Linked DNA regions of Nothobranchius furzeri. The protein of the gene in region 3 interacts with the protein of the main gene of each other region in a pairwise test. Links are inferred from orthologs where the notes say so. Each region holds a gene or a part of one and is shown on either strand. Other genes may lie near its edges. The genes, in order: insulin-like growth factor 1 receptor, shcbp1, shc1 and insrb.

What was found.
Region 1: the proteins of shc1 (region 3) and insulin-like growth factor 1 receptor interact in a two-hybrid assay, tested with the Homo sapiens proteins (4 studies listed by BioGRID and IntAct). The link is inferred for Nothobranchius furzeri from reciprocal best matches to the Homo sapiens genes SHC1 and IGF1R.
Region 2: the proteins of shc1 (region 3) and shcbp1 interact in a two-hybrid assay, tested with the Homo sapiens proteins (2 studies listed by BioGRID, with this or other methods). The link is inferred for Nothobranchius furzeri from reciprocal best matches to the Homo sapiens genes SHC1 and SHCBP1.
Region 4: the proteins of shc1 (region 3) and insrb interact in a two-hybrid assay, tested with the Homo sapiens proteins (2 studies listed by BioGRID and IntAct). The link is inferred for Nothobranchius furzeri from reciprocal best matches to the Homo sapiens genes SHC1 and INSR.

What each region holds. Positions count from the first base shown.
Region 1 is NC_091749.1:29,602,696-29,610,990, reverse strand, and holds the start of insulin-like growth factor 1 receptor, read right to left. Parts: upstream 5,302-8,295; 5' UTR 5,075-5,301; coding exon 4,987-5,074; intron 1-4,986. UniProt on the Homo sapiens protein: Receptor tyrosine kinase which mediates actions of insulin-like growth factor 1 (IGF1). Binds IGF1 with high affinity and IGF2 and insulin (INS) with a lower affinity. The activated IGF1R is involved in cell growth and survival control.
Region 2 is NC_091749.1:8,722,578-8,730,849, forward strand, and holds the start of shcbp1 (SHC SH2 domain-binding protein 1), read left to right. Parts: upstream 1-3,244; 5' UTR 3,245-3,299; coding exon 3,300-3,504; intron 3,505-3,805; exon of another isoform or gene 3,806-3,903; intron 3,904-3,956; exon of another isoform or gene 3,957-4,280; coding exon of another isoform or gene 4,281-4,413; intron 4,414-5,858; coding exon 5,859-6,074; intron 6,075-6,148; coding exon 6,149-6,264; intron 6,265-6,340; coding exon 6,341-6,549; intron 6,550-6,616; coding exon 6,617-6,712; intron 6,713-6,797; coding exon 6,798-7,028; intron 7,029-7,113; coding exon 7,114-7,291; intron 7,292-8,272. Other genes in the region: U5 small nuclear ribonucleoprotein TSSC4, read right to left, coding at 2,308-3,120. UniProt on the Homo sapiens protein: May play a role in signaling pathways governing cellular proliferation, cell growth and differentiation. May be a component of a novel signaling pathway downstream of Shc. Acts as a positive regulator of FGF signaling in neural progenitor cells.
Region 3 is NC_091745.1:78,655,046-78,663,264, reverse strand, and holds the start of shc1 (SHC-transforming protein 1), read right to left. Parts: upstream 4,632-8,219; 5' UTR 4,414-4,631; coding exon 3,817-4,413; intron 584-3,816; coding exon 513-583; intron 1-512. UniProt on the Homo sapiens protein: Signaling adapter that couples activated growth factor receptors to signaling pathways. Participates in a signaling cascade initiated by activated KIT and KITLG/SCF.
Region 4 is NC_091748.1:58,174,906-58,182,525, forward strand, and holds part of insrb (insulin receptor b), read left to right. Parts: intron 1-1,746; coding exon 1,747-1,886; intron 1,887-1,960; coding exon 1,961-2,105; intron 2,106-2,188; coding exon 2,189-2,403; intron 2,404-2,589; coding exon 2,590-2,716; intron 2,717-2,833; coding exon 2,834-3,084; intron 3,085-3,186; coding exon 3,187-3,354; intron 3,355-3,434; coding exon 3,435-3,633; intron 3,634-4,646; coding exon 4,647-4,785; intron 4,786-4,969; coding exon 4,970-5,123; intron 5,124-5,311; coding exon 5,312-5,460; intron 5,461-7,231; coding exon 7,232-7,388; intron 7,389-7,620. UniProt on the Homo sapiens protein: Receptor tyrosine kinase which mediates the pleiotropic actions of insulin.

The DNA.
Region 1 (8,295 bases), on a different chromosome or scaffold from region 3:
TAGCTAAAACTAAAAATAAACTAAAAACTACTTCCAAAAACATTCAGCTTTGATATTAATGAGTTTTTTGGGTTCATTGAGAACATGGTTGTTGTTCAATAATAAAATTATTCCTCAAAAATGCAACTTGCCTAATAATTCTGCACTCCCTGTATGCTCCTCCACATATACCATGAACATGAGGAGATTAGAAAAGCCAAAATGTCCCCACAGGTTATAGGAAAGGTTTGTAGTTAGCTGGTTAGTGAAGGAGATGCATCAGCTGGGTAGGCTGTCATTTAATCCTAACTCAGCCACAGCCTTCTGCTAGTGTCATTATTATCACAAGAATAAAGCAAAGATCTCAGAAATTATTAGAAGTTTAGGATTTTTCTTTTAAGTGTTAGTAGTGCTGGGCAATAAATCGATATGTTTTAAAAATCGGTATAATTTTTAAACAAGATACAAGATGACTTTATATCGATATAACTGGTCAAACTGCTATGCTAGCGATTAGCCGCTATGCTAGCGACATGTTGCTCCGTCTGTAAGCGGCTAATACATGTATTCTCACAAGTCATCATGCTAGAGAAGTTTCTCTGTGGTGGACCACACCAGCTTCTGCCACAATAAATAATTATAATAATAAATAACATTTTTTATTTCCCTTCTTAACTATTTCAGTTGAGAGTTTTAATGTTTAAAATCTGTTAGATTGTTACTGACAGCAGCTACGTTTAAGTTTCACTTTCTGTTCTGACTGAATGCTGCTGCAGCATGGAGGTGTAGTTCTCAGTCATCCTGGACATGATCATCCTGAGAGTTTCAGCTGAAAACAGCTGGACGTTTCTGGATATGTTGGAGACATTTAGCCTCTCATCCCAGAGGCTTCTTCCAGACTTTGGTTGTGGTCAAAAACAAACACACTGGTTGTGCTGCAAGTCTTTTTCTTTTTTCTTCAAAACATGTTTTTGTCTAAATGAAGGTGATGTTATTGTTCATAGAATTAAAATTCATGTTGAAGTTAAGATTATTTCATCAAGTAGGACCTGTGGTTAGCCGGCTCATGTAAAACATGTCATGTCTTGAAAGAATCGGAATCGAAACGAGGAATCGTTCAAAATCAAACGATGCCCAACCCTACACCAGACTGTGACATGCATGAAACTAGAGAGCTTCCATCTCATCCACATGTTCCTGCAACTATTGTGTACGACCAAAAGACCAGGAATAATGGCTTTGCCTGTGTCTGTGTCCACTACAGCTAATGAACATCAACATTTACACAAAAAAAAAAAAAAGATTTAACTGAGTCAGTTTTACAGATACTGAGCTAAGTTTTATGTGAAAGTAGATGAAAGCTGTCACCAACACAAAGAGACAGAGCAAACCGATCACACACAATTTGAGACTGGACATAAAGTTGTTTAAGATTTAAACAAAACAGCCTTAAGTAGATTATTTCTCAACATAAGATCTTTTTCGTTGAAATCTCAGTATTACAATGGAAAGACCTAAGAAACTAAATTAACTCATTTTATAGCGACATCATCGACAACTCTTTACAAGCAGCACACCGATGTGTTTCTGATGAAAACCAACAAGCAGATTGAGTTCCGAGTCACTTAACACAAACATAAAGGTGTCACGTCATCATATCATGGATATGGGAAGATGATACTTTTTTACTGTGTTAAAAGTTAAACCAGTATTACAGTAGATAATACGGCCCAGCCCAAGGGTGTTCCTACAAGTAGCAGCTGCTTGTTCTCGATTTCCAAAATACATTGTGCCTAAATTTATGACGTGGTTTTTTTCTTTAGAATTAAACTGGGCTTTACTCTGGATGTGTAACACAATACATGCGTTTCACCTGAACCTCAGCGACGCAGCGCTTCCTACCAGGAGCTTTTCAGACACGTAGTGACTGCAAATGTATTTCATGCTGCTACCCCCGCAAAATCACAGGAGAATAGCTAAATCTTGCGTGATTTAGCCCGTTTATACAATAACAAACAAGGAGAAAGACGGCCTTTTCCGGATGAATTTTACAAAACTAGAAACAAAAGGGTTTTTTTAAATAAAGTTTAAAAGGATTTCTTAAAAGCCGATGTTTCCTGAACTTGATAATAAATATAAATTTTCTTTAATGGTTGAAGCTATGCAAATACAGAGGAATGGTATAGGACATTTTTGTTTGTCTATGTGTTTATGTGCTTCTCCCAAAGAAATGAGGGTATTTGTTGTGATTTATTGCAGAGGGTGTACTTGCGTGGTTCTTTTATCTCTCTCTATAATCTTCTAGTCAGCAGCAGCCTTCAGCGGGCTGCATACCTGTTAATACACCACCAACACGCGGGCCTGTAAAAAGACACGCTGCCGAGTGACGTTACATCACCACAGACTTGATGCTTCACCCACTGTGGCCTCTCTGCAGCACCGGCATGGCTATCTTTCATGAGAGCTGCTGCTGATTGTTCCTGAGACAATCCTAAACAGGAGACTAATAATGTACATCTTTGCACCAGCTACATGAAAACACAAGTGGCAGGTGTGGTGGCTTATTAACTCCCCCTCCCTCTACTTCCACATAGACAGACTTCAAACAGCTGAGTACACAAACCTATCTCTGCAGCTTTGATGAGCTTCCAGATCACATATTTACTTTTGATAACCTTTCCGGGGCTGGCTGCAGGACCCAGACAGTCCACAGACAATCAGAGGAAATCTACAAGTAACTCCATAAAACACAAAATACGACCCAATATGCTCTCCAAGCGGCGCATCTCTCACTGCCACTAGACTGCAGTAAGACTGTTTACCCCTCATTTCCATCATGTTCATGACAGGATCCCCGCGGGGGAAAACGTATTCATAAATACTTTTCCACTTGAGAGGTAAGGTGAGAAGAAAATTCACTGGAAAGCCTAAACAAAAGATCATTCTCAGCAGAATGGAAGGGAACGTGTCCGGGTTGATCTGGGAGGGGACGAACCTGCTACCAGCCCTGTAGTCCGGCCCGCTGCTGCAAACCAGCAAGAATTCTCAAAGTTTAGCCACACCAGAAACATTCAGCCAGCTCTGAGCCAGGTTTAGACGAAACACCAGGATGGGAGAACCTCTCTGCTGCTCCCAGGTTCTGTAACCGCCGGGGCGAACAGTAAACCCCATGACACACAGTCCACAAGCTCCACACTCTTCCAAATCAACAGAACTTAGTCTGTTTTGCTTGTGAGTGTTCTTTGGCTTGTTCTATTTAAAAACCCAGACCCTGGTTCAACCCAGTAAACCACACCTCCCCAGTTCGTCATGATGAATGAGAATGAATCAGAAAGCCCAGTTTAAGGTTGGAAACATTTCAGGTGGCAACACATAAAACAAATGTTTGAATGAATAAAGAAGCTTTGAGTTAATCAAAGGTGACGGTTTAACAAGATGTCTGAGGCCATCAGACTATACGTCTTGTCATTTTCTGTCAGTGGAAAAGATATATTCTTTGTTTTAGGTCAAACCGGTCACCACTTGTCTGAGCTGTTGAAATTTCGAAGAGAAGCGCAGCTTACACGAAGCAAAAATGCACATTCAGCCCTAATAACCTGAGCGCTTTTGGCTGAAATGATTTGCCTATTGGGAAGATTTGGTGTGTCTGATAATTAGCTGCATCAGTCGGCCATTAACACAATTCAAGGTCAAGATGGATTGTTTGGCTAAAGAAATGAAAAATGTGAGAAAAGGGTATATTGAGACTACTGGGTAAAGTTCATACACTTCTCCGGTTTAATCCATCTTGAAGGTAAAAATGTAAACATAAGAAACATCTGTAAAGCTGAACAAGCAAAAAACATAAAATCTATCCAATTGTGAAAAGTAGGAAAAGATGGTAAACAGATGCAGAGTTCCCCTTTACCCCCTCCCTAGTCTGAAAGCGTATTTCACACTGGACCCAGTCAAAATGTCCCAACCTTTCCTGGTAGCGGTTCCTGTGGAAGTAAGATACCGTTAACATATCTCTTAACTCAAACGCATCACAATGCTGACTCAGGCATGACAGTGAAACCTGGGTGACTTTCACCACCGCATGACTCAGGACGAATTTAAAATTAAGCTAATCTGACTCACGATAACATCTAAACAAATATGTTTCAATATTAAAACCGCAACGCTCATTTAAAGTGTGTTAAATCTTACCACTGCAATAAAGATTGGATTTCACAACATTTTATTACATGAAAACTTCTATATGAGATTAGTTCAAATTAAAGTTATACTAATAAGAGTAGAGGTGCGATACTACCAAAACAGAGATTGTAGAATCATCTGGAGCACGTTTAAGGAAAAGGTGATTAGAATTTGTCAAATAATATTAGCTGAAATATTTTTTCTTTTAGGGCTGTTTATACAAGGACATTGTGTGGTTGTATTTGCTTACAAAAGAATAGTTTAGAAAAAACTAGTAAAAAATTATTTAAATTATTATTTCACCATTCAAAAACTGATTTATTTTATATCACCATATTTCACTGCTATATTTATGATAAAATAACAAAACTATAAATAAAAATTAAACATTTTATCTATGACTGCAGCTTGCAGGTCGCACCTTTTATTACTTGAAACTCATTTATCATCTTTTAGTCTCTATTATAAATTGTGCGGGATGACAGTCCATTGATAAAACTGCTCAATAAACTGTCACTTAATAAATTACAGCGCACACTCTGAATATAAATGTGCTTCACGACATATCGCAATTATTGCGATATTACAGTTAATTCGGTATTATTGTGAACATTTGACACCAGTTTCCATGCAAATGTGTTGTGTCTAATTTAACAGCACCTGAACTTAACCAGTTCAATTATGAACATTTAAAACGTGATTTTAAAACAGACTCGGTTGTTAATTTGTTTGGTGTTTGGACTGAGATGCATGCCAATCCTGTTTTCTGGGTGTAATTTGAGTTGGAGCGTGGAAAAACATCGTGTCCAAGTGAGCAGCAGTACTTACTCTCTGCGGTGGCGGGCCGAAGGCAGGACAGACACAGCATCAGACCCCAAAACAAGGTCAAGCGGCTCCCTTCCATCCCACACCTCATCCCTGCTAACCCAAGTCCCGCTGAAATCTTGTTTTTACTCTAATATTGGAGGAAGATGGTCGGAATGGTTAAAAACGGCTTTTAATCTGCAGCCTTGTAGCCGTTAGCCGGCTAATGGGGCTAATAGCTACAACAAACAGAGCAGGGACGCTGTCTCACGTTTCCCAATGGGAGTCCAGTCCTAAATTACCAATTTATCCCGCCGTCCAAACAGCGTGTACTCATAGTTCACCTTATCCTTGCCAAACACAGCCCCGCATCCAAGTGTTCAATGAAACCATATCGACTAAACTAGCGGTGGGGATTCCTCGGTAATCCACATCTTCCCACTCCATATCAGGAGGAAAAAACAGTCAACGTGCCGCCGCTGCTGGATGGTCTCTTTGGGAACAGCAACGAGACCACCCCTGAAACCGGACTTGGAAAAGGTGGACCGGGACACACGTTTAAACACGGCCTGGTTGTGTTAACGACACGACGTCTCTTTCGAAATTTCCAGGATAAAATCTGGTTGCAGACCGCAGCCTCCTCTCCTCCTCCTCAGCCGGTCAACACACACTGCGTTGTTGTGGTGGCCCCGATTCACCTCCCCGCAAACCAAAAACAACGCGCCTATTCGCCCCTGTTGCTTCGGTTGAGGCCAAATATGTTTGCTGCGTGTCGTTCTCCGTAGGTAGATAGCAGAACGGGCTCGGTAACTGGACAGATTAATGCACAGGTACACGCACGGTCTCCCTCGGTCAGTCTGCAGTCTTCTGCGTTCGCTGTAAACACGGCGCCGTGGCCAGAGATCGTCTGTGACGAAAAGATGTATCACTCCAAATCTGAGGAAAAGCAGGGCGTCGCTACTACTGCAGTTCAGACGCCGAAGGGAACCAGTTGCCATGGTGATCGGCCTCTTAATCACCACCAGTTGTCTCCTGATGTCGTTTCATGCATACATTCCACACAATAACCCCTTAATTTTACATAAAACATACCAAAGAGTCTTTATTATTTCTGTACTGAAATCATTACAAAAAATCGTCCTCATTAGTTACAGAGAGTAGGGCTTTGATGTTACTAAATAATTAAAGAATAGACGAAAATAACGTGGTTTTACAAAAACGTTACATTTCTGTGTTGATTCGGGGCCCTAAACAATCCCCTATTTGCGTTTTGAAAATCAGACAGAGTGAGACCTCTCAACTCCACTCTGCCGAGACCACTCTTTTTTTACGAGACTGTGCAAAGCAAATCCGTGATGCTGATCCAGGATCAGATTTGTTTTCCTGCTAACAAATGCACATTGGAGTGCCACAAGGATTGAGCGTGCTCGACTGCGCACGTGAAAATGCTTTATGGGGGGTTGCCCTTTCATGGTTGGTGCGATCATTTAGGATCCAGTTGGTCTGATGATCGGTTAATATCTTTTAAAAGCTCCAGGAATGTTTCCCTAGATCCAGTAGAATATTCCAACCCTTAACATTGTCTTTTTTGTATTTTGCCACCTTTTAGACCTATTTCAAATAATTAAATTCTTGTTTTTTATTATAATAAACTTAATTAATTGAATGTAAATTAAAAATCGCATTTAACATTGAATCTAGAAATATGTTTTATTCTATTGTTAACAGGGGCGGACTGGCCATCTGTGGGTTCTGGAGAATCACAGAACGGCCGGTACCCCAGGACGGCCGGTGGGCCGGCCCACCACTCTCCACCGCTTTCAACACCTGTTTCCCCCACCCCCGAAAGCTCTTTCACGCTCCAGCACTCTAGGTGGCAGCACTGCACCTGTAAGTTGGATGCCAGCTACATTGGCTGTGGCCGCCAGGCAAGGAGAAGAAGAAGCTGAAGCGGAGAGGAGGCAAAGGCAGTGGTAGAAAAAAAAACGATGCAAAACCCGACCGCTCGTTTTAAAAGGAAAGACAATGGTGGGGCAGAGAAGGCAAGAGAAAAAATTGCGGGCATTAGATGCTGAAGCCTCTAAATGTCACAAATTAACCGACATATTTAGCAGCACAGCCAGCAGCAGCACCTCGCAGCAGGTTCACAGCAGCGAAGAAGCACACAGCAACATGCCAGCAGTAATGAGGGACAGAAAGATGCGCTGGTTCCACAGGCAGATCCAGGGGAAGTAAGTATGGAATGTAAGAGGAGAAACATTTGCAAGGATTGATGTTAGGAATTCATGTTTAGGTTGCAATTTTATTTTATGATAACAGCTAAATTTCAACCTTTTAGCTGTAAAAGGCCACATGCAGTAAGAAATATGCTGTGGTTTTACGTAAAAAGGTTGGTAGTGGTGTTACAGTTAATGCTCACAAACTTTGAAAATCTTAAATACAGAAGTTACATTTGCAATGTTGCATTTTCATTTAGATGTGGTTTATTAGTGCAGTAAGAAGATTAATTACTGCATAAACTATTAAGCTTATCAGTAATACAGCTTTTAATACAGCATATAGTTAAATTATAGCAACATTAGCGCTGTTGCTATAATTTTGATGGTTTGGCCACATATGTTTGCTGCCGAATTTCTGCGCGCCGATTTCTTTGGGCCGGGCCTAGTCAAAGTCCAGGGCTGTTTTTTAGTCCCAGTCCGTCCCTGATTGTAAAGAAAAACCGAGATACCAACTGATACGACACTTAATGAAGTGTTGAAACAGAGTTGTTTTAACATTCACACCTGGGTATTATTTAAAATGCCATGAGTCATCAACTCTGAAACAAACAGGTTTAAATATCTAAAATGGAGTCACAACATAACAGCATGTGAAGGAAAGCATAAATCACCTCCCTGTGGTAAAACATGGCAATGGAAGCATCATAATGTGGGGATGCAACAGGCTGGGAGACTAGAAAAATAGATTCAGGCTGCAGTAAAAGTAGCAGCAAGTATGGACACACGGTTCACAAACTGTGTGAGAGAAGTAGAAAATATTCACGTTTCAATTAATGATTAGTATTTTTCTAAATTATCTGCTGAAATATTGCATCATTTGGTATGGCCTCTGAAGCCGAGGTGAATCTACTACATTAACATTGAACTCTTTTTATGGAAAATGCACGGAATTGGCGCCATCTTGAGGAGGAAAGAAGTAACTGCAGCCATGCCGTTGGCAAAACAAGGTAGAGGTGAAGTTGATCCGAATAAGAATGGATCGTCTTTTGATAAATAGCTGATACATTTTTTATATTTTGGAGGCTGTTATTTGTGCGAATGTAGACTTGTCAAA
Region 2 (8,272 bases), on a different chromosome or scaffold from region 3:
TCAAATAATGTAATATTGATTTAGTGTTGTAGTGTGTGTGCTGCTTTATTTTATATGTGTACTTAATTCAGTCTATTTGTGTTTCTTATGCAGAAAAAAACAAGCAACGATGGACAACTACATGGGGAACAAGACACTCACCCCCAGCAATTCATACCACTTACAAACTCTATTCCAGATTCTACATTATTTTTTATGGAATTTACCTCTTATATTTTGATGCCAAAAAGTTATTCTGGACTGATATTTTGCACTGTTTAGCTCATTTTACACTGCTGACTGTGGTCATGTGCAATAAAATAGATTGTAGTCAACTGCACAATTCTCTTATGTTTTTCTTTTTCTTAACTGAAATGTATTCATCACTTGTATAGGTTAAATAGCTAAACAATAACAAACCGATTAATCGAAAAAATAATCGACAGATTAATCGATTATGAAAATAATCGTTAGTTTCAGCCCTAGAGTTATCCCCACATTTACCTGCACCGCTGCTAGGGCTCACTGTTGGCCCAGAGGACAACGTAAATGTGACTCAGCTGCTTAACTGAGCTATCTCCCCACGAGCACACAGGTGCCCGTTTAAAGGCCGTGGAGCCAAACATCTGACCAGCATCGGTGGCTCCAGAAAACATTTAGACTTGAGGGGTCATGTGGGTGACAGCCACAGTGCTACAGATAAACAGAATAATAACAGGGAGACAACCTCTGATCACCAGGAAACAATAAAAAATAACAATACACCTTATGAAATCTACAGAATACATAAGGACCAGTGACGGCTTCCTGACTCGTCCCCGGACCACAATTTCAACCCGAGAGGATGAAATAATTTAATGTTTAAAGCTGAGGTCAGTCTGACTCAGTCGTTCAGTGTTTTCATTAACATCAGTCCCTCTCCAGTAGGTGGGCTGCCACTTAAAGCCTATGCTCCGCCCCCGTGTTGAGTCAGCAACTAGCTTGAAGATCTCCCAGGGCAGTCACATCTGCAGTCATGCCGACTGAGGACTGGCCTTGTGGGACACCAGTGGGAGGGATGTAAACATGTGACCACGATGAGCCAGGCTCTGTTCTGTTGGCTAAAATGGACCCAACTGCAGTTCATGAGAACCAGAAACAGTAGGTTCTGATAAGAAACAAGCAGCCAGTAGTTTTATGGGGCCTTGTCCTCTCGAGAGGACAAAATGCAAAGCTCAGATCATAAATGTAACTGCAGCTGAGCTGATAGGCAAACACAGGTAATGACCCGAGCACGGTCCCGCCTCAAATCGTCTGCATCCTGATGTGGCAGTGTGAGCGTCGGGTCACCGTGACTCGACTGGTCCTGGCTACTGGTTAGCGCCCGTGACTCTCACCCGGAGTCTGGGGATCGAATCCCGCCCAGGCCCTCGTTTCTCCACCCTGCCACACTAACCAAGGTTGATTCAGTCCTGGAGACATTTGGACACAGTGATCCATTTCATGCAGACAGCTTCTGACCACAGGTCCTTCCCGAACAGCAGTTTCTGCAGGTCACCTTTGAAACGCTTGTTTTCTGCTCCGAGTCGTTTACACGACCTGTGGACTCTGAGCCTTTCGACTGGAGACCTCAGCTGCAGCAGTCAGCTTTGGCTCCTCCCCGTGGCCGTCGTCCTCTCAACACATTCCTAGTCCTAGTAAGGTTTTCATAGTAAAAGTGCATTTTAAAAACATTTGCTGTCATGCTGTAAAGCTGCATTGATGACGGTGTTGGAGTTGATTATCTGCAGCTGACCTCACATGAACAGACGAGCCTGAAGACTTTCACCAACTTTATTAAAGCCGACAGATGAAACGGGTCATGCCACGTGTTCCTGTCAGAGATCAGGGACAGAATCAAACAGCAACTCTGAACGTGGTCGGGCTCAACAGCGAGCTGCTAAAGAGGATCTGCTCTTTAAACTTTTACGTGTTTAGTTTTTGTGGGAAGCAGAAACTTTTATTTTCTTTCATACAAGTTGGTTCAAACTGTGTGATGTGGTTTCATTTCAGACAGAAGCAGTCGAATGCTGATGTGTCTGCCACCTCTGATTAGCAGTAGCTAATAACAACAGCGCCATCAGCAGGACTGGTGTAGAGCTGCAGGTAGCGAGCACGCTAGACGTTGTCAGCGCCGTTTCTCAGGGACGATTCTGAGTGGTCCCCGGGTTTGTGCCTGCTGAGCTCTGCTTGGACAGTCATCCAGATGTTGTGAACCTGTCTGCTGAGCTGTACTGGAGTCGGGACTGGCCTCTGTGCTCTCACCTGGTTCTGGGTGTCGTGCTGCAGCAGGGACAGGATCAGTGACTTTCAGTCATCCTCCTGTTCTGAGCTTCTCCTGTAGTTTTTTGTTTTAGTCTTCCTGAAGGAGGTGAAGCTAAGGCTGGACTCCTCCATCGTCTGCTCTTCTGCTGGCTCCACACCTCCACTCACCTCCTTTTCTTCATCCTCCAGTACGGTTGGTCCTCTGGTCTCCTCTCTTCGTTTGCCTTCATCCTCCTCCTCCTCCTCCTCGGCTAAATGGCTCAGCTGTAGCTCCTTCTCCTTTCCCTGCTGCACTGTGATGAGATCTTTTGGTGGTCGGTTTGGTCTAGAGAAGATCATCTTCTTCTGGATGTTGCAGGGGGGATCACGATTTGTCTCTTGTCTCAGGCTGGACAGGAACTGGTGGGCTGTCCTCCTATTGTCCTGATCGCTGCTCTCAGTCACGTCCTCTAGACTGTAGTGGGTCCAACGCTCCGGGTGCGCCAAGTAATCAGGCACACCTCTCTTCTTTGGTGGTGTTGGACAAGTGGGCATAGGACAACTCGTCTTCCTGCGGTTTGTGGAAGTCTCCTGATTGAGACTGGGCGCAGTCTTCCTGTCAACAGTGTCCAGACAGTCAAAGATGCTGCGGCTGCGGTAGGAGAAGGCGGAGTTCCCTCCAGTCAGGGTGAACGTAGCGATAGGAGCTGGACCACTGGCCTCCACCTCCTCCTCATCATCACTGTGGTCCAGCTCTGGGTCAAAAGGAGCCCTGCTGGGTGCTTCTTCAGCTTCAGACTCGTGGCTGGGTGACAGCTCAAGCACATCGTCGCTCTGAAACACCCCACCGTCGTCTCTGACCTGTTCCCGCTCGGACATCTTTACACCAACACAGAAGCTCAGTGAAATAAACCAAGTGGTGATGACGAGAGGAGGCTCATTCTGAAAGGACAAAAGATCCACAAAAAGAATTACACACCTTAGCACATGCGTTCTCCCCACAACCTCCATGACAGGCTGGAGTTTAAACGTCCATGTTCCCAGACTGAAGTTGGCGCATGTTCTGGTCTCTGAGCGTCTTTAATCTGCTACAACACCTAGGCAGGATTACTCTAACGCTTTTACTTTATGAAGTAACGGTGATTGTTGGGAGGAATCCCTCTTTCTTAAACGGGACCTGCTCCGTGCACCTCTACTCTGGTAAATACGGTAACACACCTCTTAATGGAGGAACAAGCATTACTTTAGGAAACTGCCTGACAGGTAAAACCAGACATATAAACGTATTATAAACATAAGTAAAACCACATTTTTGCTGTTGTTTACTCGGATTTTCGACATTATTTATTTTCCCTAACACGTTTCTTACAGCTTATTTCAACCACAGAATTGTTTTTGTTTTAAACCTCAGGTGTTAGCAAGCTAATGCGTCGCTGTTTAGCGACTTAGTTCGATTATGATCAGCATCCAAAGAGCCCGTTCACGTCACGTTGTGTTTAAGACGTCTGTTTAGCTGTTCGGTTAAAGTGAAACGGATAGCAACGTTTGCTTTTAGTGCATTTACCTGCTAGCTGCTTCCTCGGGAACATTATTTTGGCTTCTTCTATGGTTCTTGTTTGTGGGTGTGCTCACAAAGGAGCTGCTGCCCCCCGGCGGTTCCTCGTGTGAACGACTTCTGAAAGATTTGTTTTAGGCAGAGCTGAATGAGTGAGTTAGATTAAGCTGCGAGTTGATTGAACAGAGATGATGAAATTAAACAGTAACTTTCTAAACCCGTGGGACGGTGCATGAGGATAAATAATCTGTTTAAGCTACTAGACCTTGACAACACGATAGGGGGCGGCAATTCAGCAAGATGGAATCCAGACTGCCGTCCAACCGCCAAGGAAGAAGAAGAAAACTAACTCCTGATTGGCTGTCGACTTTCTGACCGGGATATTTTAAAAGTGAGTGTCTGACGCTATTGATCGCGTTAGTGGAACAGAGCTGAGCTGGGTGTGTGCGTTTTGCTCCGTTAAAATAAACATCGGTTAGTCTCCATGGAGCTAGAACAAGGGGAACCAACGTGTAGAGTTAGTGACATGTCGGACATGGTGGTGGTGGACCTAGACTCCACCGTTACAGCCGAGCTGGAGGCTGGAAGCGGCTCCTCCGAAGCGGACACAACTCAAGGTCTGGACTAGATGTTTAGTTAGGCTAATGCCAACCAGCTGTTGGCTGTGTGTTATGCTGTTGTTTATTAAAAAAAGGTGTTCTGTTGCTGCTATATTACTTTTCTTGACCACGCACACGGATTAATAAACACTCACATCCAATGCACTATAAACGTTTATGTTTAATCTTTGTATACTTCAGGCGCGCAATTTTCTCATATCAACGTATGTACATATAAAACTCTGTGTATATACATATATTTATCAAATTTAAAAATTTACATACACATACCTTTTATTTTCTACACACTCACACATATTAATACTTATATTTGTAGATGGCTGCCTGTTTAGTGAACTAGTGTACTTCTCCGTTGTTATAGTTTTCATTCTTTTGTTGCTTTTATTTTATACTGTCCACTTTCTGCCATGACTGTGCAAATGCCCCACTTTTGGGGATAATAACCTTAACTTGTTCTGTTCAAGAGTTTATTAAAAACACCCAAAAGAGGAATGATTACAGTTCAAAACTGCTGAACAAGATCATTACATAAAAGTAAGTTTATGATGTTAAAAACAACTATAATGTTTAAATGGTGCAGAACTGAGTGTAATAACATTTGTAGTTGTGATGGGTAAACAGCGTTATAACATAATTCATTATGATCTGAAGTATTTTCTACAGCTTGTTGTGTTGAAACATGAGAAATGGATTAAAAACAAAATGGATCCAATATTTACACCTTGAAGAAGCTATTACAGTCGCCACAAACTCTTCTAACAAATGCACTAAACTCTTTTAATATATATGCCAAGAACATGCTTATTCTCCAGTGGCGGCAAAAGTTATTTTAGGTTTTGTGTGAAAAAACGTAGAGGACTACAAATGTATGTCTCACTAAGCTGACGTCATCAAACCAGACACACAGAAGAGATTAATTTAGAACCAACATACAGATGCCAGAGCAAGACGGAGCATTAAACCAGGAGATAACCGCTAAAATCTCCATGTGGTGAGTAGCAGCTCCACCAGTGGAGACGTCGTAAAGTATATGACTTCAAATGATCAAACTGAAGTACAACATACGTGCTAGTGAGGCAAAGCGGACCAGCATCTTCTATCGCCTCGTTCAGGGACCCATGAGCTGATCCAAGGGGAGGAGCCTTAGGCTCCCTTTATGAATGATCTTAGCTAGATGAGGGCTAATTATTTATGAGTTTCAGTTCTAGGAGTCAAATTCTGGAGCAGTCTTAGTAACCTAGTGTCTGGAAGCACCGATATGACATTTGTGTGCCGATACCAACATCACTGTTGTGGCCGATAACCGATCAGCTGACATTAATGCTGCTAAAAGCAGCAGATTTTGTATAGAATGAAAATGATTAAAGCTGAACTTTGTGTGTGTGTGTGTGTGTGTGTGTGTGTGTGTGTGTCACCCAGAATAACATGATGTATCCCTGCAGTCCTGTTTCAGAATGAAGACAAAGAGGCTGCTGATGAGGAGGAGGAGGAGGATGATGATGACAGTGGCACAGACCACTTAAGCGGTGAGAAGTCGGGAACCCAGCTGCAGAGGTGTGAGCACCATGAAGGAGGGCGCTCAAGCCTTCCGGACACCTTCCAGACCAGCAGCTTGCTGTTCTACGAGCGGTTCAAGGCCTACCAGGACTACATGCTTGGTACCTGAAGCTCCAGCATGATCACTGTGTTTGGGTCTATTTTGACTGGTTGTTCTGTGTTTGTGTGTGTGTAGGGGATTGTAAGCCCTCAGAAGTGAAGGCTTTCACAGCAGACTACCTGGAGAAGGTGCTGGAGCCGTGTGACTGGATGGCCTTATGGTGCACAGATGCGTTTGACGTCCTGGTGGAGGTGAGAGCAGTTGCATGTGAATCTAAACTCCATTACTGCAGGTTTTCTGCAGCTCTTCTGTATGATTCTGTTCCAGGTGACCGATTTGGACCTGAAGAATCTGAAAGCCTGGGTGGAGCTCTCGCTGCCTCTGAAGTGTGTCACCAGAGGCTGTGAGATCACTGAGGAGGCCATGCTCTCTCTGCTAGAAGCCACTCAGTACAAAGTTCACCTGCAGGAGCTGCAGGTGGTATATGATGAGTCTGGGGACTTTGTTCAGACCGCTCTGGCTCTTGAACACCTCCGGTAGGTCTCTGCTGAATGGGACTGCACCGGTTTCACGTGCTTGGCGACAGTGTTTTCTCTTTTGCAGTTTTTTCTATAAACACATCTGGAGGGAGTGGGATGAGGAGGATGAAGATGACGACTTTGACTATTTTGTCCGCTGTGTGGAGCCTCGTCTGAGACTGTGAGAAGATCCAGAGCTTCTGGGATAAGTTCTACCTGTGAATATTTGTCCCTATTCCTGAATCACATTTTAAAATCTTTCTTAGTTTCTACGACATCCTGGAGGACAGAGTCCCTGTCGGCCTGGTGGCGGAGTACCGCTCCTTACTGGAAAACTGTTCCAAGTGCTTCCAGCAGTTTTCACAGCTACGCAGCAGCCTCAGCGTTGACTCCGACTCGGAGCTGGACAACGTGTCCATGGTGGAGGGCCTGAAGCTCTACGACCAGCTGGAGACATTCAAAAGAAAGCTCCGCATCATTGAGAACCCCCTGTTGAGGTACTCTGTCCTTTGTCCTCCCTCTCACGTCCCTCCCTACTGTCTAATAACCATCCCTCCACACATGAACCCGACTCTCCCACAGGTATGTCCTGGCTTACAAAGGAAACTCCTGGCAGCAAAACCTACAGAGCCGTGGGCTCAGATCATCGGGTCTGAAGGTGGTTCATGTGGTGACAGAATCCTGCTGCACCGTCCTGCTCCAGTCCCTCCTCAGTGCACGGCTGATGCCTCTGTGCTCGACTGAGGACACCGAGATCCAGGTCAGTATCTCCACGTCTACGAGTCATCCACCTGGACTCGCTCCTGGTCTGAAACTCACGGTGCTAGTTTTCTCCAGTTTGTTAAATCCTCGTGGTTTCCGTCAGTGAACATTGCTTCTTCCTAGAGCTGCTCCGATCTGATCATGTGATCACAAATTGGACCCGATCAAGTGATTTTAAATGAATGGAATCGAGCGGAAAAGATCAGACATAAAACAAACGTGACTTTAAATTCATCCTGAGATTGTATAACAGAATGGCTCGGTGTTTGCCCTACATAGGCTCAGGCGTGGCACAGCGCCACGGCTATGTAATCACCCCACCAAACAACCCCGCTTTCACGACCGACGCACGGCACTGAAACTCTTCGTGCGCTATTACCCCCTTCCACACTCTCATGGCAGTGAAACGGTCCACGAATGTAACACACACATCTCCCGCACAGCAGCGAAACGGTTCTGAGCACCGTGAGTGGCACCTGTGGGGGGCGTTTAACACAGACACTTTTTATAATGAGATTAAACACCCACACTTGTCCCGCAGTTTACGTTCTGTCCCTCCATGTTTCTTTCGCTGTGTTTGCTCCTCCCTGGCCGGAAGACAGAGGACAGGAGTCTCAAAAAATGTGGGTGTCATAATACTGTAAAAAATATATATCATTAATGTAAAACGGAACTCCAAATAACAAATTGTTCACACCTGGAATCGAACCAAAGTCGACTGGATGAAAGTCGGACATCTTACTAGGTGAGCTTATGTGACATTTCATTTATCTGTAATATTTATATCCATGATGACAGCTGAAACGACATCAATCCAAAGAACAGTTCAGAGTGAAAATGGCTATTTTGTTGCTAATTTGCAGAAAATATCTAGAAGAAAGTAGCTAAGGGTCCTCAGAAATGTAGCTAGGTTCATCACTAGGCGTTAGGAACAGCGACAAAGTCGCTGAGTTGGCGCTGCCTCTCTCTCTGCTGCTAA
Region 3 (8,219 bases):
TTTTAAGCTGAATGCAAAAATACTACCATGGACGACACAGTTTAAAACAAAATGGTTTCTGATTTCCAACAAAGGGATTATATAAAGCTGCTAGCTGAAAACTTGTGACTCATAAGAGCCGAATCTCTCAGGTCCAGATTTATGTCTAATGGATTCCTCCCCTAAAGACGTGACTTTCAGTTACCGCTCTTCTGCTATTGACAGTTTTTTAGGCCTCACACTCACTTTATCCTACGCTTGTCTACTTTCCCAATCATTTAGGCAAACACTGGACAATGTGCTCTCTCGGTACAAGAGCTGGACTGAAAATGGGGTTAAAAAAAAAAAAAAAGCCAAAGTCCAGAAATACACTTCAAGGTTTTTTAGAAACTGCATAGAAATCTTGAATGAGACAACTTCAATGACTACCAGGAACTCTGGTTCCTAGAACCAAGAACGTACAGAAGTTAAGGCCGGTTTAAGCCGGTACTGCAGGATAAAACGAGGGCGGAGAAAGTTGTGTTTACTCTCACCTGGTGACCTGAGTTCTGGTGTTGAAGTCCAGTGCTCTCATTGACTGTAGCACCTCCACACAACCCATGTACTGCCCAGGAAACAGGAAGGGGACACATTCAGACCAGACATTTCCTACACGTGGGCCAATTTTAGCAATGGCAGACTGAGAAAACAAGCTGAGGTAGAAAGGAATTGTACACTTTGCGTGATACAAAGATATTGGAAAAAATTTACAATGATAAGCTGGAAAAATTTGTAGAAAAAAATGGCATTTTATTAGACAGTCAGTATGGTTTCAGATCAGGTAGATCTACTGCACAAGCTCTAATGGAATTGGTTGAAGACATATCCACATCGCTTGATCAGAAAAAATATGTTCTGGGAATTAGAGCCCTGCACTGAAGCCCTAGGCCCTCGGGTCGGCCCGGCCCGACGGCCCGAGGGCCGGGCTTCGGGCCAACGACTGTGTAATTACCTCGGACACGGGCCGGGCCGGGCGCCTTTTATTTTTAATCAAAATCATTAAAAAAATTAAAACACTTAAACGCAGCAGTAGAGCCCTGTGCGGGACTGTTTTCTTCACCCCGCTCCCACTGAATTTCTGACCATTACAGCCTGCAACCGCAACGTGTGTGTTACACTCCCGCCCTCACCTGCAGCGTGCATGTCTACTCCTGCCCGCAACCGCAAAACTCGGAGAAATTATTACCTCACAATAAAAGAGATGTATTGAGTTTGCGTCCTCAACATGACATTTTATAGGTTATCCGCTTTCACCGCAGCGCTGCGCTCCGTTTCAATCAGGCTGTACAGCAGGATTTCCCCTCTTAGCGATATTTTATCTAACTCTGATTGCTTCATGCTATAGATCGTTGGAAAGCTGCTTTGATGTACTTTTAGGAACCGTTGGAATTATTTGAATCTGATCAGCCATTCAAAAGTTATAAAACGGAGCATTTTGGATGACAAACTCAGCACGTCTCTGAATCTGTGTTGTGGTTTGTTGCGCTCAAGACAGGGAATCCCGGTGGCTACCATAATGTATTGTATGTGCACGAAAAGCCCCATTTTTAATCTTTTCAGCACTTTTGGAATTTTAATGATATCTTGAACTAGAGCAGGGATCGGCAACCCGCAGCTCTTCCATCCATCTGATGCGGCTCTCTGTGCTTGTAAAATAATGAATGGATATTTAAATAAAATGCTTTATATTTTACTGCATTAATTTTATATCTGTAAGTCAATTCTATGTGAAGATTGTCTGCGTAAACCTGAACAGGTCCAACCCAGTCTTACTGTGAGACCGTGTTGGGTCACGCTTGTGCGTAATCATATGCGCTCATGAGCTGAAGAGGATGTGAGATTCTGGGATTCTCCTCAGACGGCTCCTGGATGTGTCGCACATTGGAGACAGGAACAAGCGCTATTCAGCCAAAGTTTCATAATCAGGGAACATTTTCTAAGTGACAAGTCTCTCTGAGAGACAGGGTTTGGAAAACACTCGCTTCAGTGGAAGTAAGCTTCCCGCATGCGCTTCTGCGACGCTCGGATCCTGCACGTCTTTTAACACATTGGTCAGGATTGACGCACTTTGTTTTCATTTAGTTGGTTAAAAAAAAGTCGGGCTTGGGCTCGGGCCGGGCCAGAGAATCCTGAAAACCTTTTTGGGCCGGGTCGGGCTGGGGCTCCACCCCCTCGGGCCGGGCCGGACACGGGCTCAGATTTTAGGCCCGTGCAGGGCTCTACTGGGAATTTTTATTGATTTGAAGAAAGCCTTTGATACAGTCGATCACAAAATACTTTTATCAAAAATGGAGAAGTGTGGTATAAGGGAGACAGCTCTCAATTGGCTAAAAAGTTATTTGAGTAACAGAGCTCAGTATGTGCAGTTGGGCTATCACAAGTCTAGCTGTCTCGAAGTTCACTGTGGAGTTCCGCAAGGGTCGGTACTTGGCCCAAAGTTATTTCTGTTATATATAAATGATATTTACACAACTTCAAAATTATTTAAATTTATTATGTTTGCTGATGATACAAATATTTTGTGTTCAGCAGAAGATATACAGCAACTTATACTAAAGGTCCAGAATGAATTGAGTGAGCTTAAGAATTGGTTTGATAAAAACAAACTGTCGTTAAATGTCAGCAAAACAAAGTTGATGTTATTTGGAAATAAAAGAAGTAGTAAAGAAATCTATTTGACTGTTAATGAAATAGCCATTGAAAGAGTGTATGAAATTAAGTTTTTGGGGATATTGATTGATCATAAGCTCTGTTGGAAGCCATACATACAATATGTGTGTTCTAAATTAGCCAGAAGCATTGGAATAATAAATAAAACAAGATATTCTCTACCACAGAAAGCACTACACACACTTTATTGTACTATGATTCTACCATACTTATCATATTGTGTCGAAGTATGGGGCAATACTTATAAATCTAATTTATTAAAGATTTGTGTTCTCCAAAAAAGAGTGGTAAGGATAATTATAAATTCTGGATATAGAGATCATACAACTCCATTATTCTACAATTTAAGATTACTCAAATTTTTTGACTTAATTCAATTTAAAACTGTCCTTGTACCGTATAGGGCCATGATGGGTGTACTGCCGTGTAATTTGCAAAGGTTGTTTAAAACTCATGAAGAGGGTTATGAATTGAGAGGCGTTAAAAACTTCATTTTTCCATTATACCGAACAACTATGAAAAGTATGTGTGTATCTGTATGTGGTATCAAACTGTGGAACAAACTTGATGTGACTTTAAAATTATGTAAAAACATTAGATCATTTAAAATGTTGTATAAACAACTCATAATTGACTCATACGTAAATAGCAAGTGATAAAAATGGTAATTGGCTTCAAATGGAATATTTTGTTTTTGTTGTTTATTGGTTTTGTTTTCTTTTTTCTGTAGATTCATGTGAACAATTGTTTTGTAACTGTCTTTTTATGTAGCAACTAGCAAGGTGAAGATAGAACGACCTGCATAAAGAATTTTTTTTTTCTTTCAAATTTGTTAATGTGAGCAAATGTGATTTATTAACTGAATTGGGGCTGGACTAGATAAGCTTTTGCTTCTTCCAGTTCCCTCTCAAATGGTTTTATGTTATTGTATGTTTTGTATTGTTTCATTCAACAGCATATGTTTATCGTATTCCTCATTTAAAAAAAAAAAAATTTTTTTTTGTATGCACCAGGAATATGGGGGAGTGCATATGCAATTTCATGTTTTCGATGGTTTGAGATAAATAAATAAATAAAAAATAATAATAAAAATACAGGCTGGACAGTTGAAGTGTGCCACTCACTCACCCGAACAGTATAGGAAACTCCCGTGGTGCTGATCACGTTGTCAGAATGCAGCCAGCCACGGGTGGGCTTGTTGACAAAGGAGCCATGGCGCGTCCACTCGTCTCCTCCCAGCTGCCCTCCTTCCACCCGTGCCCTCCTGGACGCTCCTCCGAGCCGGTTCATGTCCTGCAGAGGAGGTCGGCGAGGGGGAGAGGGAGCAGTTAGTGTGGGAATGGGTTGATGAAGAGTAGGGGAGGAGCTAGAGTTGCTCCTATCATCTCCAGATGACTCAACAGGTGCCTGGGACTGCTGAGACCTGTTTGAGAACCTGGGCACTGGGAGAAGAGTGCCAGTGACCCCGAGACGAAGGGATCTCATACTGGGGAAGAAGGAGCAGAGGGTGGTGGGGCTGTTCTCAGCTGGGCGCGGGGAGGTGGGGGGCAAAATGGCAGTGAGAGACGAGGAGGAGAAGGAAGAAGGCAAACCAGGGGAGGGAGTCAGAGGGGTGGCGGGGCTGGATGGAGGGAACGGCGACGGAATGGAGTTGGTCTCATCTGTTGAGCTCAGCGACTCACTCCGAATGTGGGTGTACTTGGTTTTCTGCATGAGCTCCATCATGTATTATTTATAGGTCCTCTTAGGCTGCAGAGCTTCAAGCCAAGTCTTTTTGTCTCACGACTCAAAGTTTTTCTCTGGAAGGACACTCAAGTATCTGTCTGTGTAGGAGCTGCGTCCATCTGTCCGCCGCTCAGGCAGCCCGCACCAAACCGCTTCACAACTGGCTTTATCCACACTGAGAGCAGGAGGAGAGGAGGTGCTGCGGAAAGGTGGGGCCTCCTCAGCAGCGGTGGGGAGCAGATGAAAAAAGTGTTGTAGAGCACCAGAACAGCTCATGTTGTCATCAGTTTCTTTTGGTGTTTTTTGCTTTTGTTCGCCGAGTTCCCCTGAATGGACGAAAACACGTTCTCAGCTCTCCGTAGAGCGATGGTCTTCAGCCACGATGCTAAACGATTTCTCGTCCCAACTTAATCGTCTCCGAGTGCCGGACGACTATTCAGCTGTCGCCAGCACCACGACGAACCAACACAAGTGATTGTCTCTGAATGCTCCTTGTGCGTGTGTGTGTGTGTGTGTGTGTGTGTGTGTGTGTGTGTTACTGCACAAAAAGGTGTGTACATCAGTTTGTGACGCGTCTACATGGCAGTGTAAACCGAGTGTGTGTGCGTGTGTGTAGCAGCTCCCCTTTGGCAGCTCTATCACGCTTGACATAGGCCTGTAAAATTCCTATTAGCAGCCAACAAGGGGATTGCAGAAGGGGCTGCACACGCTAACACAGCAGCAACACATAAAACACAACCTCGGCTGGTCGATAATACAGCGAACACCTGCAGAGCCACGGAAGAAGAGAGAGGAGGCTCTCAAACTCTGCAGTCGTGCAGTCGCTTCAACTTTTCACGACTATTCTTAAATCTGGCTCCCCTTTCTACTCCCTCTCCCCCTTCGTCCAGATGCTTTCATGTCCTCTCTGAATGGCCCTTGCTCTCTCCCTCCCAACGTCTCCTTCTTCTCTCCTCTTCCAGATCACTTCTGGTGAAGACTCCCTTCCCTTCTCTGAGCTCTTCCCTCCCTTCTCTCTTTCTCCTCTCTTATCCTGGAAGTCCTCTCTCTTCCTCCACACGATGTACTCTGCCAGCCTCTGCTTCTCCAACGCCTCCGCCCTCTCCCGTGCCACCACTTCCTCTCTCCTCTTCCAAACGATCTCTCGGTCCCCCTCTCCCCCTCCCTCGATTGCTCGCCCGTTCTCCAGGCTGCCTTGTTTAACAGTCCCACACTTGTATGCTAAATACTGAGCCCTGTCGTTGCGCCTCTTTACGTTAAGGACCGCGGATGGCTAGAGGCTAGACATGTTGGCTTTAGACGCCGATATAAAACCAAAAGAAAGTGAAAAGTTAGTAATTAAGACTGGGCTTAGAGCTGAGCCCGTTCCTGACTGAGGTTCCTGAAATGGCCTGCCTTGGTTCGTGTGTTCTGTAGAACTGGCCACCTTGGTCACGGTGTGTTTTGTTGCTGGAGCACCATTTGATCGTGGTAAAGTTGAGTCTGAGATGTCTGTCTGGTACAGCGAGACACACTGCAGTAGCACAGTGGTGATGTAACACGGCAGAATGTAGGTCATAGGATGACGATGACTACCGGTGGGCCTGTTGAGACGATAACAAGCCCTGATTGGTCAGGCTTGGACCCCCAACTTAGGGTTCCCTGAATGGAGACCCACTGGTGTTGTAAATGAACCCGCTGGGTTAAGACTGCACTCAGCTCCTGACTCGGTACTAGCATGGACACAGATTATAGTTGTTTACCTGAGAGAACAGTATTGACACCGATATGAACGAATCGCCGTGCTATAATCCAGAACAGCGTCCCTATTTTTCTAAGGCTTATCAAGCAAGTTAAGCCCACAAGCATCTCATATTCTGCATAGTCCAATCTAAAGTACAGTCTGTTTTATTAATAGTCTCCAAAGTGACCTCAGTAGGAGGCAAGGCCACACCTACAACCCTCAGCCAGCCGGCTGGCCTACACCTTAGTGCTGTAGAGGCATTATTCAAACGTACAACACACCAACCTTTACAATCACCAACAAATGACACACTTATTATCCAGACAAGTCAAATTAAGGTTGTGAGTATGGCACTGATGTCTCAGTAATGCCAACACTTCCTGTTGTCATTTCAGAAATGAGCCACAGCGCTCGAGGCTGTAGAAGGCGCTGGACGCATGGCAGAAGGAACAGTCGCCTACATTAGTCTAGCACCACAGAGGGACTGTCCAGCAGTTCTAGCGATCCCTCCATCTGGTCTTGGCCAGGAAGCACCAGGAAGGATCCAGTAAATGCACTGCCAGAGAGGCTGGGATGTTCTCCAGAAAGCTGTAAAGAAGTATGGCTGACACCCAGTGTTTAGACCATCAAAGGGACGCAGAATACTTCAAAACAAAACAGTCGGTCATACAGCTAGAGAAACCAAAGATGAGCACAGAGAGAAGATTAGCACTTCAAAAAGGCAACAGATCGGATAAACGGAGGAAACTCCAGGTGTTGTTGAACAAAGGGCTGCTGAAAGGCCCTCTGAGCAGAGTCAACCCTCTGGTTTTTGTTTGTTTCAGTACACAGAACACAGTGTAGGTCAGGTGACTACAAAGGGCATGACCCTGGACACCAAGAGGAATCCTCCTGAGTCACCGTCACATGAACAGTAAGCGTAACGAACCGTCACCAACAGGACAGCTAATGAGTGGTAATCAGAGGCCTTGGGGCCAAGCAGCTGCTCCCACTGATGTGAACAAGAGAAATCAGAGTGTTAATCTAATTTATCCAGTCACGCCTGATAATAGCTCATCAGCCTGACTGATGAGAACGGCTGTTGCCATTAAAAGTGGGCGGAGCTGAAACAACCCTGAACACAGCTGAAAATATACAAAAACGGTAAAAAAAAATCTACGTTTTGTTTTATAAAAACCTAAAAAGCATCGTAAGAACCTATCTTAACCACAGACTACTCTAGCCTATGGAACAGTTAGCTAATGGACCAGCACTAGGCGGTGTCAAAAGACAAGAAAAAGACTTTACATCTTCTGTCTGCCGCCGCTGCCCGTTGCTATGGCAACAGACATTAAAAGAGATGCCTGCATAGGATATGTGCCGAGAAGTCCCGACAAGGGTGGGAATCTTCAAAGAGATTACTGTTTTTTTTTCTTTTACAACCCTATGGCAAGCAATTAGCTGTTGCAGCAAACACTTTTTTGTTTGCTTGTTTGTTTGTCTGACAGCAGGAGAAAAAACAACAACTAGAAAAGATCAATACGGTTCAGGAGATGATCAAAGTTTGACCGGCATCACGTCGGCCATAAAACCAAATCAATGTTGACATCCCAGACTGGCTGGACGCCCTGACAACAACCAGGGCACGTAAAAGCGATGTAATCTCAAAGGCTGATTATCGTTTCCCTAATAGCCGTATAAAAAACAGCTACACTACAGTCACATATCCAAAACAACCAAGGTTAAGAAAAGTTGCATAAAAACAACCTGAATATTCTGTGCAGCTGCTAAAAAAAGACGATTGTTTAACATCCTGCAGAGTGGCGTCAACGCTCAGAAACTAGAAAATCAGAAGTCACAAAGGTGGTCTACGTTTACAGAAACCAGAAAAAGTGATTTTTAGAAATGAGTCTCTCTGCCTCGTCTTTTTTTAACGAACTGCAAAACGGCAGCAGCTCATTTTTTGGTTTATAAAGCGTGCGGTCGATCATTCATGGCCATTCATCTACAACTGGGTTCATCTTCTTTTTTAAAACCCCGTTCACTGTTCTGGACACTGTCCGGTCATCCGTCCTCTCCTCCTGCCTTTCCGTTTGTCCACTCC
Region 4 (7,620 bases), on a different chromosome or scaffold from region 3:
ACTGTTTTATAAACTCCAGTTAGATAAAGACAGAAAATGTTATTAAATTCGGACTGGAACTGTGTAAAACTTAGTTAGCTACCTTGCTAAGCTGCTCATTTTCTTTGCAACAAGACAGAATTCGCTTTGAAAAGTTCAAATCTATTCCCCTAATGAGCGCTTAAGATTAAAGATCATTGTTGGAAACTTCCCTCGGGCTGAGTCCAACCCTCTTAAGTCGAACAATAAATCTGAATAATAAACGTTCATTGATCTGCGAGCGGTGACTTCATTTATTTGTAGGGACCAGATGTTCCTGCTTGGATCCTCTTTGGGATGTTCTTGACTTTCCCTTCAGACGCTTTTCATTAAACAGATTTAGCTAATGTTTTCTAATGTATCTACACTCGTGTACTGTTTGAGGTGATTTCGGCCTTCTTTTTTGGACAACCTGACAACGTTCACGCACACTCACAGCTGGTCGGGTTCGGTCAGGGTTTGGCCGAGACCGAACCTTGAGCGTCAGCTGTAGACAGTGCTCTGGATGGCTCTAACAGACCCCGGAGTCACAGGGTTCAGATAAACACCGGCCCTTTAAAAAGCCAGCCTGTCTGCCTGTGAGTCTGTGTTTTCAGTGCAGCAGCCCAAAACATTCTCCCTTTCTGTGCCGCAACTGGAGCGTTACTTTGGAGAAGCTGGATATAGCATTTTCCATGTGGGAAAAACAGACAACCTACCCTTCAAATTTTTTGTATTAGTTATTGTTTGGGGAGCTTGTTACTTTTGTCTCCTCTCACACAAAAGCTCAGAGAGGAACCGACGAGTTGGCTTCTGACTGCGGTGATTTATTCAGAGTTTGATGAGATGGAAACTGAGGCGCCAGGAGTGTGAAAGACCATTTGGATCCAAGTGGCATCACTTGGACTAAATAACGAGGGTGTAGATGTTATAGGGGGGAAAGTGGGGGTGTTGTTCTGGTAAGGGTGTGAAGATGAGACCGAGGTTTTCACATGAACAGCAGTCTGCTCAGCTTAAAACTATTAAATGCTGATTTAAATCCTCTACTAATCAGGCTCTTGCCTGAATTGTCGCCTTTTTTTTAAAATTATTAGACAAATGTGACCATAACTTTTTCCTTTCTCCTGAGTGATAAATCCCTGTTGCATGTGCAGCTTTATGCAGAACAAAATAAAACGGATCATGTCCTTCAGGGGGTTTTAGGAGACAAAGTGCGTATTTGTGAATAAAGCATCCCACTGCTTGCCGTACAGCGTGTTCACTCATCAGACGACAAGATGTTCTTATCCTGACCATCCCTGTGTGAAGACCTGATGGCGCAGAGGGTGTGTTTGGGTATGTGATGCAGTGCATGTTTGCAAGGGGGAGGATGTTACGTACCAAAGAGGCTGTTGGGAACTGCAGCCATGTTGTTTTTGTGTAGTTTCTAAAGCACTGATGTGGAGAAGAGCAAGTTGAATCTGATGTTATTTGTTAGATGATTTTTCCAAACTACGTCAGAGAAGCTCTCTCCTTTTTGATTTTGGAGTCGTCGTTCATTCAGGTGCCGCTTTGCGTTTTTAGACGTAACGCGAGGAGAAAAGTGGAAATCTGCTTCGTAGATTGAGCCGTGGAGTTAAATTTCCCAAGCCTTCCTACCAGTTGGTTTTCCTTGTTCCATTTCTGATAACTGAACACAAGCCTGTTGATGTTTTTCTTCCTTGGTCTTAATGAATTTGTCATTAATCTGTTCTCCTTCTGTGTGTGCAGGCTGATGTGTAAGCCGTGCGCGGGCCCCTGTCCTAAAGAGTGTAAAGGAAATAAAACCATTGACTCTGTGACTTCGGCTCAGGCTTTACGAGGCTGCACCGTTATTGAAGGCAACGTGATCATTAAGATCCGAGGTGGAAGTAAGTAGCGTTGCACGTGTCTGTGACTTCTGGTCTTTCATCCTGACCTCCTGTCTTTACTTGAACTCTTGCAGATAACATAGCAGCTGAGTTGGAGGCCAGTCTGGGACAGATTGAGGAGATCAGAGGTTACCTGAGCATACGCAGAGCCTACGCCTTGGTCTCCCTCTCCTTCCTACGAAAACTACGCCTCATCAAGGGGGAACAACTCGAAGGAGAGTAAGTTCCTCCCCTTTTACCTTCAGCTACAGTTTTCTATCGTTCTTTATGTTTAACTTCTTTATCGCCTTGTTTCTCCTTAGTATTTATGCCTTCTACGCACTGGACAACCAGAACCTCCGTCAGCTGTGGGACTGGTCCAAACACAACCTGACAATAGAGCACGGTCGTACGTTCTTCCACTACAACTCCAAGCTTTGCATGTCTGAAATCACCAAGATGGAGGAGGTAACTGGAACCAAAGAGCGCAACCAGAAGAACGACATTGCTCTTCGCACCAACGGAGACCAGGCTTCCTGTAAGAACCTCTGGAGCCTCTACTAACACATCCACCTCATCACTCCCTTTACATTTGTATTATTTTTCTACTTCAGTAACGTACCAAGAAACAAAAACCCATGAAACCTTAAAATCTTTACCCACAAGCTTAAACTTCATCCAGATTCAACTTGCTGGATGTGTCTGACGAGTTGTTTTGTCTTAGGCGAATCAAAGAGTCTGAATTTCACCCACGTTAAGACGTCACACAACATGATTATGTTGAAGTGGAACTCATTCTGGCCCTCGGACTACAGGGACCTGCTGGGATTTATGGTTCTCTACAAGGAGGCGTAAGTTGGATTCCTACACGCAAATGGCCCTGGAGTATAAACATTACACTTAATGCCCCCATCTTTGAAATGATGATGCTGAATGAGCTGGTTTAAACTTGGCTGCTTCTACTTCAGTCCGTACAGGAATGTGACAGAGTTTGATGGACAGGACGCCTGTGGATCAAACAGCTGGGTGATCGCAGACGTAGATCCACCAGCCCGCTCCACAGATGGCAAGAAGGCCGATGATCCTGGGCACCTGATTCGTCCATTGAAACCCTGGACGCAGTACGCCATCATGGTCAAAACCCAGCTGTCTGCTTCTGATGAGCGACAGGTTTATGGAGCCAAAAGCAAAATCATTTATGTCCGCACTAATGCCTCCCGTGAGTTCAAATCTGAGATTTTCTGCTTTTGTTTGGTGTGGTTCAAACTGTCCTAATCTCTGAACTGAAGGCAGCAGGATTAACCGTTTCTTTTTCCTCCAGGACCTTCTGTACCTCTGGACCCCATCTCATCCTCCAACTCCTCCTCTCAAATCATCCTGAAGTGGAAACCGCCAAACAGCCCCAACGGCAACATCACCCACTACCGGGTCATCTGTCGTAAACAACCAGAGGACAGTGACCTCTTTAAGTTTGACTACTGCTTACAAGGTTTGTCTCCAGCTGGCTCGGCCGCTGCTTGTCTCCATCTTTTGTCAGGCTTTCGCCTCACCCATGCTCCTCCTGTCCAGGGATGAAGCTTCCATCTCGAATTCCAACCCACCTCGACCTCGAAGAAGAGCAGAAATGGAACCACACGGATGATCCCACCTCAGAGGGCAAATGTTGTGCCTGTCCCATGACAAAGAGCCAGATAGAAAAGCAACAACAGGAAATAGAATACCGCAAGACTTTTGAGAATTACCTCCATAACGAAGTCTTTGAGAGCAGGTAAGCAAGTCTAGACACCTCAGGGTGAAGATCGCGTTTTAGCCGTCTGTTTTATTTTTGGAGAAGCTGCAATTTCACCGTTCTGGTCAGGGTGCAGCATTTACAGCTCGGTAACAATGTAGCACACACAGCGCACCCTAAAGGGGGTTTACAACTGACCTTGTGTTGGTGGTGGGTGTCATCTCAGCCAAGGTTCTTTTGTGTGTGTGTGTGTGTGTGTGTGTGTGTGTGTGTGTGTGTGTGTGTGTGTGTTTGTGTGTGTGTGTGTGTGTGTGTGTGTGTGTGTGTGTGTGTGTGTTGTGTGTGTGTGTGTGTGTGTGTGTGTGTGTGTGTGTGTGTGTGTGTGTGTGTGTGTGTGTGTGTGTGTGTGTGTGTGTTCTCTGTAGACCCTTGTTTTTGTACTGAACATCTCTATGGGGGCTCAGAATGGGAGGTTTTGTGTATTTGAACTTTAATTCTACACACACACACACACACACACACACACACACTGTCATTTTTTTCCTATCTGCCTCTTTGGGGGAGTGATTACCGTGCCCATTATCATCCACGCCGGTCAGAGAAGCAGTCATGCAGACAGCCCTTTGGAGACACAAACACCGCCTCACACACTCCTCAGATTCATTTTGATCCTGTGATTTTGAACTGGTCTTTGGTCCAAACAACCATCGCTGTTCTTTTTTAGTCCACTAAGCAAAGAAATCATCAGCTTCAACCCAGTCCTCCACCTCTCGGCACGCCAAGGTGTTAGTTTTTGATGGAGCTTTGAGCTGATGGCATCCGTGGTTTTAGTGAAAACTGCTGCTGGTGGAAGAAGTTTTGCTCACTGGCGCCACACAGCGGAAAGAGTTGTTTGCTCCACCAACATTGAATAAATGTCATGACCTCATCACTTGTTGGTTTCCCTTTATAGCTGCTCCATTTTTCATCTGCAAAATAACATTCCTGTCCTCTGATCTCAGCCCCTTGGTCTTGGATCTTATTCATTTTGATAATTTCTGTTTTTCATCCAGGTCGCCCCGTGAACGGCGCTCAGTGGACAAACCGGACACAACACAGTTTCCCTTATTTTTTACAACGATATCTAGTCTGCAGCTTGGCTCCACCACCGCCTCATCTACAGAGGAAGACGAGAACGAAGAGGGATCCAAGGTCTACAACACTGAATGAAATCTGTTATAGATTAGTGTTTGCCTACAAGTTCAACTAAAACGGCTTTTAAGTTTTTTTAGAAAAAAAAAATTAAAACACCTTGCAAAAAATTATTTTTGTGTAAAAGAGAAATGCTTTTTATCTGTATATATTTTGAATCCCATCCCATAATTTTCCTGCTCAGGTGGAGCTGAATGTTACCTCTAAGGAGTCAGCAGTCATATCCAACTTGCACCATTTCACCAGCTACACCATCGAGATCATGGCCTGCAACCACCCTGAAGACCCCAAACGCTGCAGCCTGGCGACTTACGTCAGTGCCCGAACGATGCCAGAAGGTGAGATATCAAACTATTTTTGCTTCATCTAAACATACAGATTTACTTTTAGTTTGATTTTGATCAAATGACACCCGCTTGTGCATTGGTCACATAAAAAAACACAAAGTATACCATCATCACGGGTGCAAAATGCTAGGTAGAGATCAGTTTGCTCAAATGTTTCTGTCTTTGTGTGGCTCTGGCAGAAAAAGCAGACGATATCCCAGGTCCTGTGACTCACGATGTTGTGGTCGCTGAACCTCCCTACGTGTTGATTAAGTGGAACGCGCCTCGATCACCCAATGGACTCATCATCCTTTACGAGGTTTTCTACAAGAAGGTCGGAGACACAGAGGTACGTGTCAACAACACGGTAACATGGAGTGCTCCTGACGTCAGGCATAAACCTTTACCCAAACAACGCAGATTAAAACTACACTACACACACATCTAATTAAGGACTCCCCCACCTTCGATAATTTGGATAAAACACACAAAACACATACCGACTACAAAAAAGGATACAAAGCATGCTGAGGAGACAGCAGGCCAGAGACAGATGTCTCCGTTTGCTCCTCGCTGAGGGTGGGTCCAGGCGTGTTTTAGGCCGATTGTGAACTGGGTGCTTTAGGGCGGAGCGAGGTAGAGTGGGATGAGACAGCTGTTGTAGAATAGCGCCTCTCAGCACAAGGATGAAATCAGAAGGGAAAGAGGAGCATGCACCAAAAGAAAAACAAATGGCTGTGGCCGTAACTGAGAAACTTTGTCAAATCTCATTCTGAATGCCTTCCTGTGCTCATCTCGGACTCTACTCGATGAGATCTTGGACTGCCGGACATCTAAGGTTTTGAGTAAAGGTGACGCCTGGCTCAGCTCACACCATCGGATCAGTCCGGACGTTTCAAAACAGAAATGGGAGCTGGACCTGGGTGTTGGATTGTCAGAAAAGGCCTGGCACAAGACGTGAGACACAGTATTATTTAGCTCAAAGTGGTGCACCATTTGCTTTGGTCCAAAGACAGACTGCAATAATGAAGCCAGACTTAGACCCAACTTGTTCTGGACCTGCCTGACACGACAGGGATATTGGAGGCCCAATTTTGATGAACTCTCTAGGATTTGTGCGACCACTGTGCACCCTGACCCCTTGACTGCTCTGTTTGTGGTGGTCACAGTGGACGATACAGCAGATGGTAGCCAACAGCACATAATAGCTTTATGCTATTTGTGAGCCATCCTGTCCGAGTGGAAAGATGCTCGGCCTCAACCACTTTATTGGAGAAATTATGAATCATTTGGACCTGGAGAGGATCAGACATGGTCTGAAAGGGTCAGCTGACAATTTTGATGTTGTGTGGCAATTGTTTGTCTCCTATTTTTAAGAATGTACCATAAGACAATTGGTGATTGTTTCTATTACTATGTAAACTTGTTTTTGTGTACACACTAACGCTTTCTAGTGGGTGGGTGTGTCCGTGTTGAACTTTGACTGTGTGTGCAACAGCATGTGTGTTCAGTGTTGTTGTTTACTTGCAGCAAATGTGTAAATAATCTCACTGCTATTCATTGCTGCACCACCATCAGCAACTCTGTTGCTATAGTAACAGAAGCAGAAGGCTCTAATGCAGCAGTGATGGAGGTGCATCTCCACTGCACTACTCTGAAAGCATTGCAAACTTTAGCTCTTTCAAACAACCGATGCATTTTTCATTTAGGTTATTATTGGTATAATTATGATTATTAAAAAAAATATCACTGGATGGGCAAAAAAAATGTGTCCATTTACTATAAATTCTACCAACTTCTCCATCAACTATAAAACCAAGCTGTTTTTCTGACTAGTATAAAAGAAACCAAACAAGTGACTCGGGTGAACAGCAGAAGTCAGACTAGATAGTCACAAAAAAATTTTCTACCTCATAGGTCAAGAGAATTATTGAAATTCAGTGAAGCATTTCCTTCTCACCTATTGGTGTTTTTAAAGCTGCGTACATGTTCAGCATATTTTGCTAAATGACCATTTCCATATTCTCTTTGCTAAATCCATTTTTATGGTTTGGGTGAAGTAGCTGCTTTTCCTGTCGCCCTCACTGATGCTAAACTGTGTTTTTCATACGTTCTTCCAGGTTCACACAGTTTGTGTGTCACGGCCGGCTTACGTCAACATGAGCGGGACCAAGCTCCACCTTGTTCACCCTGGAAACTACAGCGTGAGGGTTCGGGCTACGTCGCTGGCAGGAAACGGCTCTTTTACAGAAACGACGTACTTCTTCATGCCTAATCGTAAGACTGGAGACTCCATCTCTAACTTAACTAAACTTTTGGTATTTGTTTGCATTTGTTAAAGGGGACATAACACTTTTTGCATCTTTTTGTGCTGCCATGTGGGTCTCTACTGTCTTTATAAAAAATCCTAACATGGGGAAAATGTTTAGTTTTAGGAATTATTTGCCTAAAACAATCCGTTTCAAAAGGTCCCTGTTTGTGATATCACAAATGGGGAAAGTAGAATAGA